2 linked regions of the Ovis aries genome follow. The protein of the gene in region 1 purifies or fractionates together with the protein of each later gene. This does not show direct contact. Links are inferred from orthologs where the notes say so. Each region holds a gene or a part of one and is shown on either strand. Other genes may lie near its edges.

Region 1 (8,136 bases):
AGCGCACACACGTGAATTCCCACAAGGCAGCCGAACTTTCTAGGCATGGAGAAAGCACGCCGTAAGCACTGGGCCAACACCCACTGTGAAAATAAAAGATTGGCATTTGGAGTCCACCTTTCCCAAGTTTTGTAAATGCTGCCTATTTCTATTAACAAAATACCTTCTGAAACTTGAAGCAGACAAGAGAATTATCAATGCCAAGTTGTTTTAAGTTTTAGGAAAATCTGGGAAGGAACCCTGGGTTGAACACCACAAGCACATTCAACAGATTTTCTCAACCAACATCCCTTGAAAATGATTTGCAAATCAGCACAAAGACTCAGCTAATGCACAGCCAACTCAATTGAAAGGAGAGTCAAATTTCCATACATCTGTCCCCAAAACACTCAATGCTTACAACCATTTGCTCACTCCTGCTCAGGAGTCAGGCATACTTCCTCGGCAGAGAAGGCTTTAAAAAAAGCCTTAAAAAAATGTAAACATCAATCTTACCTTGTGGACCACACAAAAAGATATTCAATCAAAGTCTAAACAAGAATGAGCGAAAGATTAGCCACACTGACCCCAGAACAACAGATATCTCTGCACACTGTATTTTTCGTGTATGTGGAAAATCGTCTAAGGCTATCCACAGACAGAGTGAGGAATGATGAAGACAGCCCGAACAAGCAACGCTGTCCTTACCTAGCGACTGGAAGAAAACAGAATAGCGGCATTCGTAGAGCGAGAACAGGTACTGGCGGGCGGCCGGCAGGCCGTGCAGCACCTCCAGGATCTCTGCTCCTTTAACCACCTAGGGGTCGTTCCAAAAGACAAGCGCAAGCTTTAGTGAGTATGCTTTGTTTATTTTGGAAAAGCATGCTATATCCTCTGAACCTGAGCACAAAAGATTCCATCATTACCTTTTCCCTGAGGTCCGGTCTTTCTAAGGCAATCATGCTGACATAGACGGTGTAAGTCACAAAGGTTTTATAATCCATGAGTTCATAGGATGTAAATGTTGAAACTGTGTCAAGGAAGAGTTCAGCTGCCTGTTTGAAATCACGAATAGCTACACAATAAAGACCTTGATATACTTTTAGGCGGTTCCTCCGGTCCCAATCTCCTCCTTCCTCTATCAAGCTATAAAATTAAAACAAAAGTCATACTCTGGAAATAAACAGTGCTTTTTGCAAGCTTTGTATTATTATTAAAGAGAGAAAAACTTGTCACAACTTAAACCAAAAACTAATATATAAAGAGAATAGTTTCCTAAATAAGTACATTAACTATTTGACCAAGTGTACCAGTTGGAAACAAAAGAAACAGATTTCTGCTATCAATTTCTTATCATAGCATCGCAATTTAGAGGGAATATATCCCCACCACTAAAACGTACGTTTTGGCCTTTTCTGTATTTCGAGTGATGAGGTCATTGTCCATGTAAAATAAACCAATTCTAAGGAGATAGAACACAATGTCCAGTCGGTGACCCAGCGCCACGGTTTTGTCATATGTCTTGCGAAAGGCTGTCAGAGCACCTTCCTGCCAAGAGAACAAAGCAAACAGGTGAGGAAAGGTTAGGTGTTGTGAAAGCTACAGCTTTTTCGGATTTTCTAAGCAAAAAGTGGGGGGGAGAGGTAGGCGTGGAGTCAGGAGAGTACAGCCGTGAGGTGGTAACTGCTGACGCTGGGTGGTACCTGTTCTCTCCACGCGTACAAAGTGTAAGAAATACATCAAAAAAAAAAAAAAAAGAGATACATCAAATGTGTCTAAGCATATACTTATATTCTAGGAAAAACCACCACATTCATAACTTGTTCACCACTGTTTCAGTATTCTTCTTTGTCCTATATATTCCATATTTTTCCTCTAACAATTACAATACGTTACTTTTACTCTCCTGTAAATTATCAATCCTAACAACTAAAGAGTATTAAAAAATTTTACCGTAATCACTCTTAGAATGCAACGGATTATTTGAATATACAGTTCCATCTCAAATCACTGTGGGACGGAAAGTTTTCACTGCTTTAAGAACATGAATATGGGAGACTCCCCTGGCAGCCCAGTTAGGATCAAGGCTCTGCGCTCCCGCTGCTGCGGGAATGGGCTCAACCCCCAGTTCAGGAACCAAGATCCCACAGGCTGTGTGATGTGGCCAGACAACAAAGAACAAAAAAACAACAACAAAGAAAAAAGAAGAAAGAAAACGAGGTGAGCCTGTGACATCCTGTTGTATGAGAAAATAGGGAAGACCACTGAGATCATGTCAAAAGGACAAAAAATCCATCTTAAGGGAACTTACACTAACAAATCTGTAACAAACTGAGCACCAAAAATACTAATGACTGAGATCAATACAGCACAGTGAGAAATAAAAATCCACCAAGTCGATTATTTAGTAACTAAAATAAAATATTAAAAAAGTAGGGCTTCCCTGGTGGCGCAGTGGGTAAGGATCCACCTGCCAACGCTAGACACACGGGTTCGATCCCTGGTCTGGGAGGATCCACGCGTGCCACACGGCAACTAGACCAGTGCGACACAACTGCTGAGGCGGAGAGCCCTGGAGTCCACGCTCCTCAAGAGAAGTCACCACAACAAGAAGTGGCCCCTGCTCGCTGCAGCTAGAGAAAGCCCACACAGCAGCGAAGACGCAGCACAGCCACCGGCAAAGATTAGACAGACAATAAACTGGAGGAAAAGAAAACTCTTCATTTTAGAAGAGTGCTATTTCATTAACATGGACTACATTATTAGAACATCACCAATGGACAAAATGTGGATTCAAGCATATCCTTGTTGAAATTCCTCAAGGCCTGAATTGAAAGCTCTACGTTTCTCATTCATTCATAATACTGCATCCTGTTTAAAACCAAACCAAAGCAAAGCACACACACCACCTACAAAAGCCACAAACTATTAGCTATATTTTAAACTGTCCCGTATTTTTCAACTTTTACAATGACCAGATCTTAAATCTATAGTCAGCAGGGGGAAAAAACAAAAACAAAAAAAACTTATGTTAAATTTAAATAATAATAGTTCAGATCATTTAACATTTCAGCACTTTGCCAAGGTACCAGTCTAACTCCTGTGCCCCTGGGAACTATCATTATTCCTATTTAATAGCTGAGGAAACTCATCCAGTTAAGTAAATCATGATTACTGAAGCCAGAAACAGAACTCAGGCAATCTGACCCAAGAGTCCATAGTATTCAATTTTTTAAAGTTAATGCCATGTTATCCATTATCGAAACACTTCAGGGTACACTGCTTACAATTAAGGACATCCAAAGCCATCCTCTTAACCACTATTATACAATAACTAGGTTAAAAAATTTAAAAGACCCAATACTTGCAGGTGCCCCTCTTATGCCCTGATAGTATAAGTTAGGTTGGCTGCTGGGCTGAAGAACAGTCACAGACAAAGACTGTTCTCTGTCCCTGAGATTTCATCTCAGCATACACGCTGGAGAGACAAGCATATACACAGAGGCACACACAAGCATATTTTTACAACAGCAGCCTATCTTAGCAAAAACAGCTGAAAACACCACACAGGTCCAACCACTGAATAGCTAAATAAAGCGCAACATCACCCTACTACAATGGGCTACTAACCAGCAGTCAACCAGAATAAGCAAGAGCTAAGCACACTAACATGGATGGTCGCGCAGACAGAATTTTGAAAGAAAAACTAAACAGGACTGCATGAGGACACCTTGATACACTTTAAAACAACCTTTTTAAACCAATACTGCCTAATTTCTACAAGTACATCCATGTGACTACAAATGTACAATAAGAGAATTAAAAGATAATATCTCAGGAGGCAGAAAAAAAGAAAGAGCAAATAAAACTTCAGCATTAACTCTAAGATTTTAGTTTCTTACAAGGAGACAATTACTTGCCTAAACAGTAATTTTTAAAATGCACCAGAACCAATGCTTCCCAACCAAGACACGTTACGAAAGTAAACTACAGAAAACATCCAGGTTTGGCAAGATCAGCAGACAAGGATGTCTGCACACGCACTTCTCTGAATCACAGGGAGAGATGGGGAAGAATACACACCAGGCTGCTGTCTGGGGGGCCGATGAGAGCAACAGTGTAGAGAAAACTATTCACTTTTTCTTCATTTCTGCACTGACTCACTAGCTCAGGTAAGCAGATTACCTGTGCAGTTTTTGGAAGGGGGTAGTTAATGTTTAAAATGAGACCCTGAACAGTGCCCATTTCAGGCTACACACACAGGAGAGACCACCTCACCCACCTTGTCGCCTATCCGGCAGAGGTACTCGGCCTTTGCCATCATCGCGTCTCGGATTTCGCTCTCCCCCAGATTCTTCTCTGCATCCTCCAGCTCCTCATCCAAACGTTTCAACTCGTCTTCGTTTGCCTTCTTCATTTTGTTGAGCAGGTCTACGTCCATCTGCCACTCCAGGGACTTACACAGGGCTTCGTAATAAGGAGCCATGTCTGAGAGAGAGCAAGAGGGGTGTGACTTAAGCGTGGGCCCCCCACCCCTACTCCACCCCCATCTTCCTCCCACACAAGCTGTGAAGTCGTCCGCCGGACCCCTGCCCACTAGCAGGAAAGGGCTGGGCACCACGAGGTGCTTGCTACTGGGAGGCCAGCATCAGGACCAGGCCTGTCACCGCCGCCCTCTCCTAGGGCCGGGGATAGGGCAACCCTCGGCTTTTTCACAGCCACACACACCTCAGACTCGTGCACTTAAGGCTATAGCGTCCGCTGCCATCACTACTGGGAAGGGCAGAAGGAACCGATGCCAAGTTTCCCCTCCACCGGCAATGCTAAAGTCCCCGAGAGCAGTCGCTAATGACAAGTAGCCCTGTCTCTGGCTCGGGGCTCAACACCTCGGGATCCCCCCAACCTGGTCCCAAGGCGGGAGGCGCACAGAGCCGCACACCACTCTGAAAGCCTGGAGGTGCTGAGAAAATGAAAGCCCCGAGGTGCGGATAAGCCAGGTCTGCTCTCGGGGTCCCCGTCGGGGTAAACCCCTCAGGCTCGGGAGCGCGGGGCCGCCCGGGCCTAGGCCGCTGACTCGGCGCTCCCGCGGGCCTCACTGTTATCGCGGACGGCTGCCATCAGCTCGTCGCGGACCGCCGCGTCCCCGCGGTGCTCGGGCAGGCTGAGCAGGAAGCGCAGCTGCGCGATGCGCAGGTCCGGGTTCTTGGGCAGACCCTCCTCTTCCAGGTTCTCCAGCGGCATCTCGGCAGCGACAACAGCGGTTCCGAACAGACGGCAACTCACAGCCGAGACCGGCGGCGGCGGCGGCGGCGGCGGGGGAAGTAGGAGGAGACTCCGACTGCGCCAGGACGCCTCCAGCTCGGCTTCCGGTCCCAGCTCCGCCTCCGCCCGCAGCGCCCCTTGCTGGACACTCCCGTATATGCTCACCCGTCCCCGCGGTTTTCCCCCACTCTCAGCTAGGAGAGTCCCAGGGAGGGTGGTACCCACCTCCAAAGTTGGATTTCCTGAACCACTTTCTCCCTCCATTTTTTAGCTATTTCATTTTCCAATCCGTTTGTAATTAAGAGACTGGCAATCTTGAGAATTTTGAAACTATAATAATAACAACAGTAACAACCACCACAACAAAAAACAACCACTACAGTTGTCTAGGCCTTACTCTTCCCCTTTTACCTTTCTTCTTGTACCCATTTCTTAAAAAAATATAGAAGCATAGTTGCTGTACAATATTATATAAGCTTTAAAGGCTATACTCCATTTATAGTGGGCTTCCCGGGTGGCTCAATGATAAAGAGTCCACCTGCAATGCAGCAGATGTGGGTTTGATCCCTGGGTTGGAAAGATCCCCTGAAGGAGGAAATGGCAACCCACTCCAGTATTCTTGCCTGGGAAATCCCACTGACAGAGGAGCCTGGCGGCTGCAGTCCATACAATGGCAAAAGAGTCAAATGTGACTTAGCAATTAAACAACAACTCCATTTATAGTTATTATTTTTTTTTAAATAGGCTGTATTCCCCGTGTTGTACAACAGATCCTTGTAGCTTATTTTATACCTAATGGTCTGTACCTCTCACTCCCCTCTCCTGAATGCCCTTCAATTCTCTCTCCCCACTGGTAACCACTAGTTTGTTCTCTCTATCTGTGAAGACTTCCACTTTTATGTGGAACTCATGTTAATTCTCTTAACACTAGGAAGTAGTACTATCACCCCATCTTGTAGATACGGAAAACAAAGCACAAATAAGTTAGGGAACATGATCAACCAAGGTTATGCAATGTCTACGTCTGAATGAAAACCTCTGCCTGGAGCTCTAAAATCCGTGTTCCTTCCATGATTCTCAGAAAGTGGCTCCCAGAGTTCCAGTCTTAACACCATAGCACCACAGCTTTATTCATAATTTAAAGCGTCGCATGCCTATATTTTCAGCCTCTTTTTGTTCATATTGCTACAGTCTTCAGTACTGGTAAAGGTTACATGAAATTTCACCTAGTGGGTTTTCGTAATTTACTTACTCTCCCTTCCATTAGAAATGCCTTTAGGTTGTCTAAGGTTGTTATCTTCCTATTATAAAAACCAAGGTGAACACCTTGGAATGCACAGGGTATTTTGTATTTTACATTTTTTTCCCCTTAGCATAAATTCCCATGCAGGGTTGATAGGCACAAAGAAGACATGCTTTGTGATTTTCAGATATTGAATATTAAATGCTTTTCAGAGAGACTTAAACCATTTACACAGCTACTGAACCATTTGCAACTGTCACATTCTCACCAGCAGAAGGCATTACCATATGTTTTTAATATTGTGTCTGTTTTTGGTAAAAAAATAAATATCTTGAAGGCAACTCAAATGACAGAGAAAATGCTGAGAACACAGGAAAAATCACCAACACTCCTCCATGTTAAACTTATGGAGCTTCCCAGGCGGTGCAATGGTAAAGAATCTGCCTGCCAGTGAAGGAAACGCAAGAGACATGGGTTTGATCCCTGAGTTGAGAAAATCCCCTGGAGTAGGAGATAGCAACCCACTCCATATTCTTGCCTGGGAAATCTCAAGAACAGAGAAGCCTGGCAGGCTACAGTCCATTGGACTGCAAAGAGTCAGACAGGACTGAGCGACCAAGTGCCCTAAGGACAAAGAACCTTGTAAACCTCTTTCATTCATTCATTCAACAAACATTATTGCAAGGTTGCAAAGTACCAGGCACAGACATAGCCCCTAACACAGCAGTGAAGAAAATGTGGGCCCTGTCTGCATGGAACTTACACTCTAGACACTTAGTTTCACTGAAACTCATCTAGGTTACATATTAATAGGCTCGTTTTGAACTTGTACCTTATGAACTGCTTTCTTCACTCACTATGTAGGGTGGGTGTCTTTTCATGCCAGTAAATATGGATTGACATCATCACTTCTAATGACTACACAGGAGGCCATTACTTGTATGTAATCCTTAACTCCTATCAGTCTGAATATTTTTCATTTTCTCACCCTCATTTTCAGATACCACCAAGTTGATCCATCTATGTGCATATGTTTTCACATTTGGTTTGTTATTCCTTATCTCAAATCTCTAGAAGTGAAACTATTAATTAACAGGGTCTGTACATTTTATATTTTGACATAGTAGATAAGGATTATATAAATTATTTTTCTACAAATTAAATACCAACTCACATTCTCACCAACATTAAACAGAGAGCCTGTCTCCCTCTCTGCCAAGACCTTTTCTTCACCCATTTTAATCTTCAGCAACAAAACGTGTTTTGCTTTCCATTACATTTCTCTTATTATTGTGAGGTTGAATTTCTTTTCACATTTGTGCTGACCTCTTTTTTCCTGTTTGCTGAAACTCCTACCTTGCTTTATCAATTCCTCTACATAATCTTCCGTATTGATCTCCGAGCACTCTTCATATCTTCAGGATATAACTGCTTGTCAAGAAATGCAAAACTTCCTATAGTCATTTTTTACATTTTTAATGAATTTTTTCAATGTAGATGTTTATAATGTTTATACAGTTAAATTTATGATTCTTTTCCTTTATGCTCCATGAAAGCATTATCAAGTCCTATTAAGACCTTTCCAACACCATGGTTTTAAAAATATTCACCCATGTTTTCCTCTGGCATATTGATGCATTTCTCTTTTGTTT
Region 2 (8,136 bases), on another chromosome or scaffold:
AAAGATGAAGATCAACATGAACATATGCATTTATCCACAGTACAGACATATTAACACAGACTAAAGAGTTAAGCTTCAATAACTGGGAAGTCTGCTTAAGCAGGACACTGCTTTTGTAGAAATATAGGCTAAATAAAATTCCTGCACATAAATGTTAAAATGTTCTCTTCTATTCTTCTCCTGTAGTGTGTGTGTTGTTCTGTAACAGCCCACAATGTGTGTGTGTGTGTGTGTGTGTGTGTTGTTCTATAACAGCCCACAATATGTTGTTTACATTTCTGGCCTCCCCACCAGACTATGGAGTCCTTGAGTTCAGAAAACCAGCAAAGTGCTCAAATTATTCAGTAAATAACTGGTGCATGAAAATTAAATTCTAGGAGTAAGAGGGAAGTAAAAGTCATCATGCCAAAGTCATTCATTCAGAGTAGGAGAGCTTCCTAGAGAGGGTGGGACTTGAGAAGGATCTTAAAAGATACAACTAGGCAGAAAATAAGGGAAAGGAAAGGGGAAGGAAACGGCAACCCACTCCAGTATTCTTGCCTGGAAAATCTCACAGAAAGAGAAGCCTGGTGGGCTATAGTTCATGGGGTCACAAAGAGTCTGAGTGAGTCATGACTGAGTGAGCACAAGGGAAAGGAAACTCCATGTCAGGGAAGGGCATGTCGAGAATAAAGAACAGTCACACAGGAACAAGGGGAGAGGAGGCATCAATTAATATACTAGTTTAGTCACTGAAAGATATTAATGGAGTAACTCACAATCTAGGGTAGAAGTCTGGACTAGAGAAGATCTAGTGAAGAAGGTGTGGCAGGGAAGTGGCATGAAATGTTAGTTCAGAAAGATGCCACAAAAACAGGGTTGAGTGAACTCCGCGTTTTGTCCCTCTCCATGATTCCCTCCTGGCTTCAAATTATCCTAGGAAGTCTGGCCCTTTTGGTATATTATTTCTACCAATCTCCTGTCAGCACTGGCAATGACCTCTCTACATTTACAAAGCTACTGAAACGATCTGAGTCTCAGTATCTTGTCTGTGTAACAAAAGTGAGATTAATCTAACCATTCACCTTTCTACATTTCTACATATAGGCTGCTGAGTGCAGATACAGAACAGGACACAGCTGTGCAAACTGGCGCCGTTCCAACTTACCACAGTTTTCAAGCTCTGCGTAGTTTTGGAGTCCTTTTGTCCCTTTTGTTCCCAGAGCAGCCAATTCTCACTATACCTAGCCTATCAGCAAAACCTTCTTCCTGCATAACAGCCAAAAACTGGAAACAATTCAAATGTTCGTCAGCTGATGAATGGACAAAAAATGTGATATGTCCTTACAGACTATTACTTGGCCATAAAAACATACGAATGCCACAAAATGGATGAACCTTGAAAATGTTATGTTAAATGAAAGGTGCAAAAGGCCACATATTATGACTCTATTTATAAGCAATGTCCAAAACAGGCAAATCCACAGAGAAAGTCAATTAGCGGTTGCTAGGAGCTAGGAGGAGGGGAGAAAGTAGAGAGACTGCTAAACAGCATAAGGTTTCTTTTAGAGGTGATGAAAATGTGTAGAATTACTGACAGACACACAACTCTATGAATATACTAGAAACCACTGAATTGTACACTTTAAAAAGATAAACTTTACTGTATGTGAATTATATCTGAAAACAGTTATTATCTTAAAAAAAAGATCAAAATCCTAATAGTCCCTACATGTTATGGTTGACATCTAGCACATAGATAGCATGCATTTTATTTCAACAAAACTGCCATTTCAGGGGAAAACAACTCTTCTTTAAGAGCTGACTCTAACTCCAACATCACAAAGAAAATATAGGCTATAAGAAAATTTCACATTTCTATATCCAGGTCTATGCATGTATCTATTAATACATCTACACTTACCCTCACCTTTCATCTTACTCTTTTAGACTTAATTCAATCTCGCTCATCTAAGATACTGATTTTTCAGCTGGTCGTCTTTTCTACCTACAGCCTAAGTATTTGTTTCTTTTTTTAAAATATATTTATTTACTTTTAAATAAGGGCTTCCCTGGTGGCTCAGACTGTCAAGAATCTGCCTACAATGCGGGAGACCTGAGTTCAGTCCCTGGGTCAGGAAGATCCCCTGGAGGAGGGCATGGCAATCCACTCTAGTATTCTTGCCTAGAGAATCCCCATGAACAGAGGAGCCTGGCAAGCTACAGTCCATGGGGTTGCAGAGTCAGACACAACTGAGTGACTAAGCACAGCATTTTTAAATGAAACAAAGATGAATATTTTTAATGTATAACCTGTATTTTAATTGCTCTCCAATTAGTTCCCATCTTTAAAAATAAGACAAAAATCCTTGATTCTGAGACCTCCCAGCTACCACCTTTCTTTGACACAGCACCAATTTCCTCCAAAGAAAACTGTTTAAAACTCTATTTCTCCTAGAATATCTTATTATGGAGAGACGTCAAAGGTCTCTGAAAATGAAAAATAATCAGCAAAACAAAGCTTTCTTACAAATTTAAAAGCAAAAAAATTTTAATGTTACCACACTAACTGAAAACAAATGGATGAGAATAATACAGGAATGTCATTGAAAGGAAAAATTTGGAAGACTTGGGAACTAACTATATATGGTAGGGTGAGGCACCAGGTTTTTCACTCTAATGTCTAGAATAGTGATAACTTAAGAACTGAGAAAATCTAGAAAGAAAACCTGTTTGACAACAGACGCGCTCAGCATCAGATTCTGGATCTGATAAGCTCAAAACAGCAGCGAGAGTTTTAACCAGAAATGTTTAGCAGGTAACTATTCAATCTCTGCTTGAAAATGAAGAGAGGTCAGAACTAGAGCTGTAGACCAGGAATCATTATCAGGAAGATCACAACTGAAGCTACAGAACTGCCTAGAATACAATAGTATATGGCAAAGACACTGATTAAGATGCAGCAGCAATGTCTCCACAAATGTCTGTGGCTCCCAATGGGACACGAATAGGAAGCCCTTCCCCTAGAATGGAGGAGTTGCAGTGGCATCCATTCAGCACAGAATGGTCAAGAACATCTGAAGACTGTTGAAGCACATCTCAAGACTACTTGAAGCACTGTTCAAGTAGTCTAGGCCAGGAGAAAGTAGGAAGCTCTTTCCTAGGGGTTGTAAATCCTTTCTCTAAAGGGAAGGCATAGAGATTTAAGGATATTACCTGGGGGGTGACAGCTCAGCCAGGCCTCCCCTTCGTCCTTCCTATGAAGAGAAACAAAAACGTAATTAGACTCACTCAATGTCAAAATGGATGTTATTGATGAAGGGGAGAAAGAACATATAATTTCCAGTTTAGCCAGAGCACTTACACAAATCAGTCTAATACGTTATCCAGGCATAGACAAACTTTATTGAAGAAATACTTATGGATTGTGTTTAATGCATAGACCTGTTAGTTAAGTGAAGCTCAAGTACTTCATCATGAAACACTTATTAGCTGCACTATCCTGGGCAACTTACTTCTTGATTCTGAACTTGTGTTCTTGCAAAGGTAGGTGGTCCTCAATAAATGCCAGTGTTCCTCCTATTACACATCTGGTGTTGTAGTAATAAGGTTTCTTTTCAGCCCACCTAGTAAGGCATAAGTTTCTTAAACTCAGGAGACTATGTTCCATTCATCTTCACCATTGTTTCCATTTTTAAAACCTATTAGTATAATAGTTGCCATTCATGGCACTGCTGTTGGAGAAGGAAACGGCAACCCACTCCAGTATTCTTGCCTTGGAAATCCCAAGGACAGAAGAGCCTGGCCGGCTGTAGTCCACGGCAGACACGACTTAGCGGCTGAACATCTCGGTACGGCTGTACTCATTCTGGTGCCTGGCAAAATAACTTGCACAGTATATGATACACAATAAATAAATGAATGGTTTGTTGTTCATTCCAATTAAGCTGTTAGCGTCTCAAAGGCAGAAACCACCCTTAAGTTTAGAGTACACATCTGAACTCCGCCGAGCATCTATTTAGGTCAGAGTCTGGACATGGTTTAAGTGTTACACTGTTCCCTGAAAAGACCTGTGAAGTGAAGTGAAGTGAAGTGAAAGTCGCTCAGTTGTGTCCGACTCTTTGCGACCCCATGGACTACACACAACATGACTAACACACCACTGGGAGAAGGCAATGGCACCCCACTCCAGTACTCTTGCCTGGAAAATCCTATGGACAGAGGAGCCTGGAAGGCTGCAGTCCATGGGGTCGCTGAGGGTCGGAAACTACTGAGCGGCTTCACTTTCACTTTTCACTTTCATGCATTGGAGAAGGAAATGGCAACCCACTCCAGTGTTCTTGCCTGGAGAATCCCAGGGACGGCGGAACCTGGTGGACTGCCGTCTATGGGGTCGCACAGAGTCGGACACGACTGAAGTGACTTAGCAGCAGGGGTCGAGAAGGATGCCAAGACTCCTGGTAATGCAGATTGCTGGGACTTTTGGAAATAGCTGATAAGTAAGTATTTGCTAAATGACCATGACTATTTGGCCAAGAGTCTTCCTGCCTCTCAGTTTTCCTGTCTTTCTCCAACTCATTGATGCTATTCTGCCTCTGCCATCACACGACGCATACGTGTTTCCTGGGATACATAACTCTTCTGAGAAGGAAAAACAATGACCATGTGGCTTTGAGACTTCTAGGCCCAGGGTTCCCTCAACAATTGATGAGGCAACCCCTATGGACATCCTGGGTCGGGGATGGCGCTCCTTAACGTAAAGGCAACATCCGCTACCCGCCTCCTATGTCCCAGTTCTGGACCTGGATTCACCTGAGAGCCTGGGCCCAGTCGCTCTGAATCCTCAAAGGTACCGCCATCTTGGCCCGCCTCCACCAGCCCGCCCCTTCCGCTCTCTCCCGGAAGTGGATGCCCCACAGAGCCTACGTCGAGAACGAAGGGCGGGATCTACCCGAAAAGCCGCTAATGGAAATACGTGATGTATTCTCCTTCTCTCCCCGCCCCTTTGCGCGCGCGCTCCTTGCAGGAAGCTGGTTCCTGACCCGAGGTTTACTGGGTAATTCGGTAGAGTTACAGCTGCCTGCGAAGCCGACGCCGCTGTGCAGCAGCGCGCGTTCGAGTCCTCCTGTCTGCCTGTTCGGTGAGCACTGTGTGCCGCGATCTTACGCGGTGAAGCCTAGCGGGCACAGCGCGGGCTCGCGAGTGCGCTTGCGTCCTCTCCGGAAGGTGGTGGTTTTAAGTAACTTGGCCGCTTGGGTTTTTCTGCTTACCCATCCTTTCAGTGCCTTCTTAGTCCAGGCTGGCCTTCGCGAACCAACTGCCGACCTTCCATCCTGCCCTGGTCTCTGAGCGAGGGTCTTCCACTTTTTACTCATGAGAGACTGAAGCCAGGTTGAGGTGGGGAATTAAGTCCTTTCGTAGCCCATGCACTTGTCCCTTATTAGCATCTTATTCCTTGCGGTAAAGTGAGTTAAATATTACCTTAAGAAGGAAGGAAACTAAGGGATTTCCTCTGTGGTCCAGTCGTTAAGATTGCCCTTCCGCTATAGGGGACACTATATAGTTCGTTTCCTGGTAGGGGAACTAAGATCCCACATGCCAAAAAAACGGGGGAAAAAAAAAAAAAAAAGGAATGCACGCTAAGGCTTGCGCATAGTAAAACGAGGTGCCAGTATTTGAATCCGGATTTCTTGGCTTAGAATCCACGGCACTGTTCTTTCCACCATATTGTTTCAAGAGGCTTGCCCTTGCCTTTAAAGAGCTCAGTATATTTAGAAAGAAGAAACATGTATAGTAATAGGAGTTATCATTTATTGAACTCTGGACGTGCCAGGCTCCTTACGTGCATTATCTCATTTAGTTTTCAGTCCTGTGAGATAGATTTGATGTGTGTTTTTCAAGAGAGATTATAAAGTGTAATTTGCTCAAAGCATCCCAGTGAGTCAGTGACCAGGCTAATTTTCCAATCCAAGTTTGTTTTCGAAGCCCATTTTCTCCCTCCTCCCTTGCCTTCAAAGCAAATGAATTTTGTGTAGGGCCAGTACTCTTGCCTGGAAAATTCCATGGACAGAGGAGCCTTGTAGGCTACTGACTATGGGGTCACAAAGAGTCGGACACGACTGAGTGACTTAACTTCACTTAACTTATAGAGTTCTTGGGCTCTCCCAGTGGCTCAAAATGTAAAGAATCTGCCTGTAATGCAGGAGATCTGGGTTCAATCCCTGGGTCAGGAAGATCCTTTGGAGAAGGAAATGGCAACTTGCTGCAGTATTCTTGCCTGGAGAAATCCATGGACAAAGAACCTGACGGGCTACAGTCCACGGAGTATCAGAGAGTCTGGACAGGACTGAGCGATTAACACTTTCACTTTCATAGAGTTCTTAAAACCTTTTTGTGACTTCCCCATTGCCCTCTTGACAACTTAACATGTGGTCTTCCTGTGATCAGATACTTTCTCAACTCATCACTTTCATTAATTTTCCTGTTCTCATACTCTATTCTCCAGTCATGTAAAACTTTCAGTTCATCTCATGTCAAATTCTGTCTCAAATCCCCACCCTGCTCTTCCATTGACTAGAAATATTCTTTACATCTCTGGCTCTTCCCTTTTCATCTTTCAAGTCTCAGTCTAGAAATCACTTTCTGCAAGAAAAGAAGGCTTCCCTGCCTGTTTGTCCCCTTGTCTGGCTTAGGTAGTCTCCACTGTCTTCCCAATTTTAGCTGTTTATAGACACTGTACACAAGTAATCAGCCTTTTAACTTACCTAAATTATAAACTCTATGAAGGCAGGAAGTGTATCTGTCTTGGTCACTCTTGTTTTCTCAACTCTAGCATAGAGCTTGGTACATGATAGATACTCAATGATAATTTGTTAAATGAATCAGAGACCCAGGAAAGGCATTAAGGAGTCTTAGCTTATTTATAGCCTGTCATGGTTAAATTTGTACAAAGGCTGAGTCATTTATCTTCAAACCTCTCTTAAGTTCCTTCTATATGCTACCTTGTGCTGGGTGCTCTGAAGCAGGTGATCGTGGAAAGGCAGTGTGGGCAAGTGCACCTCACATTAAGTATTCTCACACTTCACAAACTTAGTTCTTGCCCTGTACCTTGTATGCTCTTTTCTCCACACAACTCTCCATTCTCCCAAATGTCAAACCCTACCCATATATGGTTACTCTCTCAAGTACTAAACTCTGTTCTTCTCTAGCCATAGAATAAGGCTAATTGAAAAAAAGAAGATTGCTTCTCCAATAGGAGAACAGAGATAGCTTCCCCAGATATGTGACATTTCACCTAATTCCAATTCTATTAGTAGAACCCATTTGAGCTTATTAGTGCTGTGCTGAGCATTCTCACATACTTTATCTCATTCTGTTCAGTTGAGACCATTTTGCAAGCCTGGTGCTGGGGGTACCAGGATGAATCAGGCCCAGTGTTTGTCCTCAAATAGCTCACAATCTCCAAGGGGAGACATAGGCATAAATAGGCTATAACAGTGCAGTGGTAAGTGTTGTTTATAACAGAGGAACATATATAATCATGTCCCTACTCTAACCTTGCTCCCATTGATATTCTAGAGACTCCAGAAGATGTCAGCTCAAGGCCATGCCTGGTCCCGACAGGTGAAGAAGGAGGATGAAGAAGAGGACCCGCTGGACCAGCTCATCTCCCGCTCCGGCTGTGCTGCTTCCCACTATGCAGTGCAGGAGTGCATGGCCCAGCACCAGGACTGGAGGCAGTGCCAGCCACAGGTGCAGGCCTTCCGGGACTGCATGAGTGAACAGCAGGCAAGGCGACGGGAGGAACTGCAGAGGCTGAAAGAGCAAAGCAGCGCCCACCACTGAGACCCCAGACCACCTATCCCCAGAGGATGGCCCTGCAGAAACTAACACCCAGACAGATCATGGGAGAAAGAAATCCTGAACAGTGGAAGTTTGTGCCAAGAACTCTAAGACTTGGGGATAGTATTTGGGCCTGGGGCTGAGAGCCAGGCAGCCATGGGTTTGGACATGAGCTATCATATTGATATCCCACACATCCTCATCCATATTGTGTCACCAATATTAAATATTGACCAGTATTTGCCATGTAAAATAGTGGGGTTAAGGGATGCTCTCCTATGCTACATCTTGGGTCAGTGTGCCAAGTACTGTGCT

The links.
Region 2: the proteins of PSMD6 (region 1) and PAAF1 purify together in Homo sapiens (affinity purification with mass spectrometry; 3 studies listed by BioGRID and IntAct, with this or other methods). This does not show direct contact. The link is inferred for Ovis aries from reciprocal best matches to the Homo sapiens genes PSMD6 and PAAF1.

The regions. Positions count from the first base shown.
Region 1 is NC_056072.1:37,547,348-37,555,483, reverse strand, and holds the start of PSMD6 (26S proteasome non-ATPase regulatory subunit 6), read right to left. Parts: upstream 5,273-8,136; 5' UTR 5,221-5,272; coding exon 5,076-5,220; exon of another isoform or gene 4,708-5,075; intron 4,468-4,707; coding exon 4,262-4,467; intron 1,528-4,261; coding exon 1,382-1,527; intron 1,126-1,381; coding exon 906-1,125; intron 797-905; coding exon 688-796; intron 1-687.
Region 2 is NC_056068.1:52,057,247-52,065,382, reverse strand, and holds the start of PAAF1 (proteasomal ATPase-associated factor 1), read right to left. Parts: upstream 4,861-8,136; 5' UTR 4,839-4,860; coding exon of another isoform or gene 4,792-4,838; intron 4,479-4,791; exon of another isoform or gene 4,312-4,478; intron 3,867-4,311; 5' UTR 3,847-3,866; coding exon 3,755-3,846; intron 3,606-3,754; coding exon 3,495-3,605; intron 3,237-3,494; coding exon 3,196-3,236; intron 1,267-3,195; exon of another isoform or gene 1,148-1,266; intron 1-1,147. Other genes in the region: cytochrome c oxidase assembly factor 4 homolog, mitochondrial, read left to right, coding at 7,570-7,824. UniProt on the Homo sapiens protein: Inhibits proteasome 26S assembly and proteolytic activity by impairing the association of the 19S regulatory complex with the 20S core.